2 linked regions of the Coturnix japonica genome follow. The protein of the gene in region 1 interacts with the protein of each later gene in a biochemical or structural test. Links are inferred from orthologs where the notes say so. Each region holds a gene or a part of one and is shown in the gene's direction. Other genes may lie near its edges. The genes, in order: E-selectin-like and CD24.

The links.
Region 2: the proteins of E-selectin-like (region 1) and CD24 form a complex in vitro, tested with the Homo sapiens proteins (2 studies listed by BioGRID and IntAct). The link is inferred for Coturnix japonica from reciprocal best matches to the Homo sapiens genes SELP and CD24.

What each region holds. Positions count from the first base shown.
Region 1 is NC_029523.1:3,600,210-3,604,117, forward strand, and holds the start of E-selectin-like, read left to right. Parts: upstream 1-1,542; coding exon 1,543-1,624; intron 1,625-3,176; coding exon 3,177-3,232; intron 3,233-3,359; coding exon 3,360-3,450; intron 3,451-3,908. UniProt on the Homo sapiens protein: Ca(2+)-dependent receptor for myeloid cells that binds to carbohydrates on neutrophils and monocytes. Mediates the interaction of activated endothelial cells or platelets with leukocytes. The ligand recognized is sialyl-Lewis X.
Region 2 is NC_029518.1:61,827,592-61,831,499, forward strand, and holds the start of CD24 (signal transducer CD24), read left to right. Parts: upstream 1-900; 5' UTR 901-1,046; coding exon 1,047-1,127; intron 1,128-2,964; coding exon 2,965-3,147; 3' UTR 3,148-3,908.

The sequences.
Region 1 (3,908 bases):
CTCATTATTTTAGGTGGAGTTCTTTTCTTTGCAGAGACTCGCCTCAAAAATGAGGACTGTGAGAGAGGAACCAGCCAACCCTGAGACAAGCAGCAGGACCAGAATGCAGGAGAGACGTCTCCACAGCTCTGTATCCAGAAGGCAGCGAGGAGAAGGGCACTTTCCAAGGAGCAAGGTCCTCAAGAGCACAAAAATAACCAAGGTCCCAGGGCAGAAAGAATCACAGCACTGCTGGTGCTGAACACAAGAGGGCAGGAAGCACAAGGCAGGGTGCTTGCCTGAGGCTGGAAGGAGAGGAAAAGTCAGCCCTCAGCTGCCAAAAGGTGAAGAATGAACTGCTCAAGGATGCTTCTGTGTGCAGGAAAATGGAGCTGGCCTCGCTGCATGGCCAGGACTGCCTCCGGATTTCCTGGCAGGAGGACAGGACATTGTTTGCTCTGTGGGGCTGGCAGTGGCCAGAGGCAGGGCTCTCGTGGCTGAATGCGTTCACCTGATTCATCTCCATGGCTCTTTGCAGAGCTGTATGGCTGCGGAGCCAGATCTGCTGTTGAGAGAGCCAGATGGGCTGCACAGAGCCAGAGTGAGGGGAAGGGAAGAGGCAGAGGGGAGCAAAAACGTGCTGGGGGGACGGGCAGCAGAATCCGCCTCTGGGCTTGCCCTCTTGAAATAAGAAGACTGCATTAAAGCATTAAACCAGACTGTTGCAGTAGCAGTGGTGATGTCCGGGGGACGCAAGGCAGTGCCATGAGGGCAGTGAGTAGGGCTGGGTGGGACCGGATGCCCCAGGCTGCACTCACCCTGACAGGCAGGGCCACTTGTTTACTGCTCACAACACCAGCACTGAGATAAGTTTCCATTATCTCCACCCCCACCATCCTGTTTGGCAAATCGTTACCCATGCCAGGCACGTGCTGCTGCAGCCAGGCAACAGGAGCCAGCTCCAGGGGTGCACAAATAGCAGCAATACCATACGGCTCTTTGTCCTTTTGTTGCAGGGTGAAGGCACAAGGCTGAGATCTACAGGGTCAGAGAAATGGCTCCGAGGGGCATTAACAGGGCAAGGGGGACACATTGTGGTGGGCAGGGGCCCCGAAGCCCCCAGCATCTTGCAGCCAGCATTGTTCCACCTGGGGCATGCCAGGAACATTTGGGGACATCCCCATCCTGCTCAGCAAATCAGTGCCTCCATCTTGCCCTGCCCTGGTTGGGGTGATATTTGAGTAAACATGTCTTCCTGTGGCCAAACTGTTACCACTTTCAGATTCTGAGAAAGATTGTACTGTGTGCCACACTTCAGGGGCACTGAGGTGAGATGCGCTCAGAGGCACCTCTCAGCTGGGGACAACTTTGGGGACAAAAAGCCCCCATGGTGGCACTGTAGAGGGGGAGCCATCCCCAGCCCATGCCCAGGAGGTGCCTTCAGAGAGAGCATCCTGGCTCAGTGCAGGGTCTGGAAATGGGGTGGCATGGGGGAGGGGAGAGGGGGAGTGGGAACAGGGATGTACCCGATGGCTGCACCCCTTGGGGGTGCCCCTTGTCTCCATGCCCTGGGGGCTGCAGAAGGTGCCTGGGGATGTGTCTGTGGTGTCGTCAGAGGCAGCTGCTCCATGCAGGCTGTGTCAGGGTGAGTCGGTTCCTTTGCGGTTTGCAGGGAGCATTGCTCAAGAAGAGGAGAGGGCTGTACCACACAGGGATGGGGCCTCTGCCAAAACAAGAGCAGTGTGCATGGTGAGGGGCTCCTCCCAAGTGGCAGGGGAGCACCCCACTCAGCCTCACAATGATGGAGGAGCCTGCAGGATCCCTGTGAGGAGTACGTGCCCTGCAGCATGCTGACATTTGCCCAGGAGCTGGCCCTGAAAGACACCAGCAAAACAAGATTACCTCTGGCTCCCAGCAGAGCTGCAGAACTGACTGCAGTCCTCATTCATTCCCCTCTGCCACATATACCCCTCTCCTTTACATATAAAGCATGGGTTCAGGGCTGCATCCTTCCCCTTGCAGTGTCCACCTTCAGGTCTCGGCCAGTTCACTTCTGCTTTTACAGCAACACCAGAAACTATTTGTAATGACAAAAATAAAGGTGGGGATGTTTTTTTTCTATTGTTCTGCCCTGTTGTGTCCTGTGCCAGCAGAAGTGAAACCTGCAGGGGCACGGCCCATTTTCTTCCTGCCCTCCCATGGGGCCGAGCATCCAGCAGCACCCCTCTGACTGTCCTAGTGCAGAAGCAGCTTTGTCCTGCTCAGGGGACTGTGGCTTCCTGAGGTGTCCCCCTGCCCAGAATCCACCCAGCAGCCTCTCTGTCCACTGGGATGGCATTCCTTGTCCCAAGCTACACTTTCTGCATGGGAGCTGGCAAAGCGAATGCTGCTGGGTCACTGCATGCACAGAAAGAGGGAGAACTGCACCAAAATATTTTGCAAGGATGATAACAAAGGACAGGAACAGAAGTTCATTTGCATTGGCCAAGCAGAAGGTCACTGTAATGAGTTATGGATTTTGGGGATGGGTTCCTCCTTTTGTGTCATGTGAGTCCCACTGGGGCATCATTTATTTCTCTTGGAACTGGAACATGCATGTGATCCAAATGGCTCTTGCCTTGGCTTTAGCTGGAAGTGAGCAGAGTAATTCCCTCAGAAAACCCTGCCAAAATGATATTACTTAGAAGTAGAACATGTGTAAAAATAGATAGATGGTGATGCTGCACACAATGGGCACCTTCCTGAAGCATAGGTAGAAGTTCATAAATGACATTTAATGGGGGGAAGTTCCCCCATCCTGTTTTTTGGATCTTTCTCATAAAGATTTTAAAAGGCAGAAACAGGAAAATACATTGTGTAACTAATTGGTCTTTAGTGGTATATGACAATTCACAGCCTGCAACAGGATCCAGGAGCCGCTTACCTCGTTCCTGTTCTGCCTGGTGCAGGTCCACACACCTCATCCTACTCTGTCCTCTCCTTGTTGCTGCCACCGACATGGTGGGTTGGAGGGCTCTGGGTGGCTGCACACCAGGCTGGCCCCTCATTGGGGTGCAAGTCTCCAGCTGGCAGCAGTTTCCTGGCAGTGGGGGGGACGCAGCGGGGCAGGATGCGGGCTGGCAGCAGGGCTGGGTCAGGAGGGGAAGAGACTTGGGGGGAGGGAGCGATGCTCTGAGGCTTGAAGGAAGCGTGAGCAGTGCTGCCTGCCCAGGGCAAGGGCCAGGTGCAGCAGGCACCCTGCAGCACCAGTGTGGTAGGTCTGCCTGTTTCTTCCCATTGGGACAGCTGGGGTCTGCTTGTGTAGGGGGCAGGGAGGGTTGCGGGTGGGTATCCTGCAGCTGACAAGAATGCATGCTCATGCCCTTCTCTCCGGCACACAGGGCACCACTGTGGGACAGCACTGCACTCGGAGGATGAGGGCTCTCAGCTCTTGTGGTGTCTGCTGCCTGAGCATCGCTGCCTTTACATGTGGTAAGGTGCCCACCGTGACCCTGAGGGAATGGAAAACTGGAGAAGGGCAGTGGAGTTATTTTGGGGGACCCACAGACACATGGCTTTGGTGCCTGTAGGATATTTCCTTTGCACATTGGCACTGCATGGGGCAAGGAATGTGCTCTGTCCTAGAAATCCTGTGTGGTGTGGATCAGTTTACAAAAGACCTTTTGCAAATCAGCAGAAGAGCAGAGGCAAAAGTAGAAGTGTCAGGAGGAGACTGAGATTTAGGTCTGCAAGGAAAACAAAAATACAATTGCAGCTTGAGTGCTGCAAACACTGTGCCCAGCTGCACAGGGCTGGAGGTATGGGGGCTGCCAGGGCTGCTAATGGAACCCAGGTGGGACTCAGCTGAGGTGGATGGGGAGAGGTGAGATGAGGCTGAGCACGTGGGGCTGCAGGAGCTGGAAGGATGAGGTAAGAGTGTGTAGGTTGTA
Region 2 (3,908 bases), on another chromosome or scaffold:
CCTCCTGTTCCACTTGTTACACAGGTTTCCTGCTCTTTAAGGAATAATGATAATAATAAAATATTCAGATCCAAAGAGCATCTGGAACTGCGAGCTGTGGTCTGAAGGCTGAGCACTGGTGGGAAGGTACCCACCCAACAGCCGGGGGGAAGGTGGGGCCTCAGCTCTTCAACTCTTCACTCCTTGTTTCTACCATCTGGAAATACAGCTTTCTTTACCCGTCCTCCCCGCATCTATGAGCTCGGTTTTTAAATAGAAAAGCCTGATGTTCTGAGGGAACTGGGGTTGCTCAGTCTGGAGGAGACATTATAGATCTGTACAACTTTTCGTTGTGGTGAGGTGGGAGTTGGCTTCTTCTCCTGTGTAGTGATGGGACTGGAGGAAACGGCCTCAAGTCGCACCAGGGGAGGTTCAGGTTGGAGATAGGAACCATTTCTTCTCAGAGAGAGTGGTGCTGCAGTGGCACAGGCTGCACGGGGAGGTGGTGGAGTCACGGACCCTGGAGGTGTTATAAAAACGTGTGGATGTGGCACTGAGGGACCTGGTTAGAGGACATGGTGGGGATGGGCTGCTGATTGGACTAGGTGAGCTTAGAGGGCTTTTCCAGCCTTAGCGATTCTATGCTTCCGTGATCTTCACAAGCAGAATTTATCGCTGCTTCTGATAAGAGATAAGAGATGACAAGCAGATGTGATCCCTTGTGGCCACGCCGTGCTGAAGCGCCAGAGCACGAGGTGGGCACAAAACAAAGGCACAGACGTTGTGCCCGCAGGTGGGGAAACGCAGCTCAGCCCCATAGCCGGACCGAGGCCGGGGCGGCGACGCAGCCAACACCTCGCGGGGAGCGTAGGGAGCGCGGGGTCGGCGCCGGGGGGCGGGGGCAGAGGTGCGGGTAGGAGGTGGGGAAGGCGGCGACGGCGGGGCGTCACGGCAGCCCGCGCTCCTATAAAAAGCCCGGGCGCGGCTCAGCCGTCTCGTTCGCCGTCGCAGCGCTTGGATCAGCGGCAGCATCGGTGCGGCACGCAGCGGATCAGCAGCAGAAGGGCATGGGGACGGCAGTGGGGACAGCGCTGGCGGCACGGCTCGGCCTGGGGCTCCTGCTCCTGGCGCTCCTCCTACCCACGCAGGTGAGCCCCGCCGCGAGAGACGGGAGAGCGGCCACGCGGGGACCCTCCCGGAGCGGGGTGCTCCTCCGGGGGAGCCTGCGGGGCGGGGGCCGCCGTTCGGAGCCCCTGCCTCTACCCCGGGGCGAGCTCGGGCTGGGGGGGCCGCTCGGTGCCGCTCGGCGAGGTTGGCTCTCGCCCCTTTGTCTGCGGGATCCTCGAGAGAGCGGCACGGAGCGGCGGTGCGGGCGCTTCGTCTCCGTGCGGTGCCGCGTGGCGGAGAAGCATCGATTCTCCGCTGAAAAAAAGAGGCTCAAATAATAATAAAGCCGAGCGGCCCTCGGAAATAAATAAGACTTAGAGCCCGAGGGCGGCCGGTCCCGCTGGTCCGAGCCCCCATGGTGCGGGTGAGGCGCGGCGGGGTGGGCGGTCCGGGGCTGGCTGCGGGTATCGCCGTGCCGGCCGAGCTCCGCCGGCTGCGGGGTGGGGAGGCAGCGCGGTGCTCGTCCACGCTGCGGGGACGCGTTTCTAAGAACCCCTCGTGAAAAGGGCCCGTAGCTCCGCACGGAGCGAATGAGCGGCGAGAAGCTCCCGAGAGGGGGTTTCAAATCCGCTTGCTTTTGTTGTTTGGAAAGAAAAACTTCGTCCCTTTTGAGTTGGTCTCAATAGAGCAGGGTCTGATCGTGTGGGTGCCGATGTTTGTTAAGGGAATGTAGGAAGCTTTGTCTGGGTTCTCTGGGGTTTCTGAGCCCTCCCTTTGCGCACCCACCCAGAATCCGGGCTTTGTGCTCACAGCCGAGGTAACTTAATAAATACGTATCCCAGTGGGAAACAGGGAAGGAGGAATGTGTGAAGACTGAGAAAATTCCGAGGCACGTGGAGTCTTATCTCTTAACCAGTTTATAGGGTCTTAACTGCGCTTCTGTATTGATCACTCACTCACTGGCTTCAACATAAACTTCACTGCTTTTTCTTTTTTTTTTCCCCCCAAGTTCTGCAGTCTTGAATTGTTTCCAGTATATTCGTGCTTGCCAAAAAATCTTAGCTGTCGGAGGCTTCATACTAGCCTGCTGTCTTTCTATGATGTGCTTTTATTCAGGATATGCTCATGCAAGTTTCAAATGTATTTAACGTTGATTTTATAGCCTCAGTGTTGAGGTACAACATACATCACTTCTGCTAAAGGCAGTAATGTTCTCAGCAGCCCTGGAAATACAAGAGAATAAAGGCTTCTTTTATGGAGAGTGTTACTAAAGTAGTTGCTCTTAAATGTTTTTACTTCAAACTCTACTCCCGTGTACGAGAGGGCTCTGGTTTAACATAGGTTTGCTGGTGCAGAACTACAGCTAAGCTTGCTGAACTGTGAGTTTTTTCCCCTCTCCTCCTCCTCATGATTCTTACCTTTTGTTCTCCACCCTCATGTCTTCCACTGGAAGGGAAGGACCAGCTTCAAAGCTCAGCTTTGAGAGCTTTCCTGTATGTGTAGGGTACAGGTTTATGTTGAAGTTACATAGGGTGCAAATTTCTACTGTTCTGTTGCAATTAATGCAGAGTAATGAGTGGGGATTTTGTTCCCATTGTTCTTTGTCAGCATCTCTTCTATTTGCTGGTATTGTATGGGCTTTCCACTGCACTTCTTATTGTCTGTACTAGCATGCCAATAGGTTTTGATTTAATCAGTATAATTCCATTAAGTTCTGCAGTTCAGTACTACCACAGTGTTTCAGCCTCCCCTCTGTTATCTTGCAAAGTCCACTTAAATAGGTCTGTCATTCAGAGGACTGCCTGGCTCCTGATTTTTATTATTAAAGAGCAGAAAAAAAAAATTGCTTTTCATTAACTTTCTCTACCCACATTCTAGATCTACTGTGATCCCAATGGAACAAGTCCAACACCTTCAAACAATTCTTCAGCGAGTTCCACTTTGCCAGCTGCCGTAAATTCACTGAACAGTACCACCGTTCACGGACATGGAAATGCCCTTCAATCCGCCACAAGTCTCCTTTTCATTCTCTCAGTTTCTCTTCTGTATTTTTGCTGTTAAGAGAAGGGCAGGAAAATGGCTACCACTCCCCACCCAGTTTCCTGAACCATCTGAGATGGCTAGATCTTCGACCTAGCATGAAAATGAATCAGTCCAAACTCTGCATCAAACCAGCTTGGTTCCACTCCATACTGTAACTAGTACCAGTCTGACCTAGAGAAGCACCCCCACTGTTCTGACTTTCCAAAGCTGACCAACGTGAAAAGGATTTGCTCATCTTCGGCGTGGAGGTGAAATGATGTGCTCTTTCACCTAACAACTTTGAAATTGGCATAATGATGGAAGCAAAACCAGACAGTATTGACACCCCTGATTTAAAGCTGAGAAGAAATACAGTGTCCACGATAAGGATGGATGATAACACTCCACCAAAACAGAAGGCTAGAGACTTTACCTGCAGCTTAGAATTGATACCTTGAAGAGGTGTTTACCCTCCATTAAGTTCAGTAAAGTCAGAGCTCCTAGAACCTCTAGGAAACAAAAGCTTGAATGGTTCTGTTTCTCACACAGCCCATACAGTTATAATCTATGGCTGGTAGCAATGTATGTGAAAGATCTTCTAGATTTAATTTGTGTGAGACTGCTGCAAGTCTAAACATAAAATACCACATCATGTAAGAATCCTCTTGTTTAATTTCAATTACCAAATGGCTAATCAGGCAGGGCTAGTTTGGAAACTATTAAAAATGACCAGTTTTCCTAAGGGTTGAATGGGGATTTGGTTTTGACATTTTATTTAAATTGTTTGCATATTAAACCTT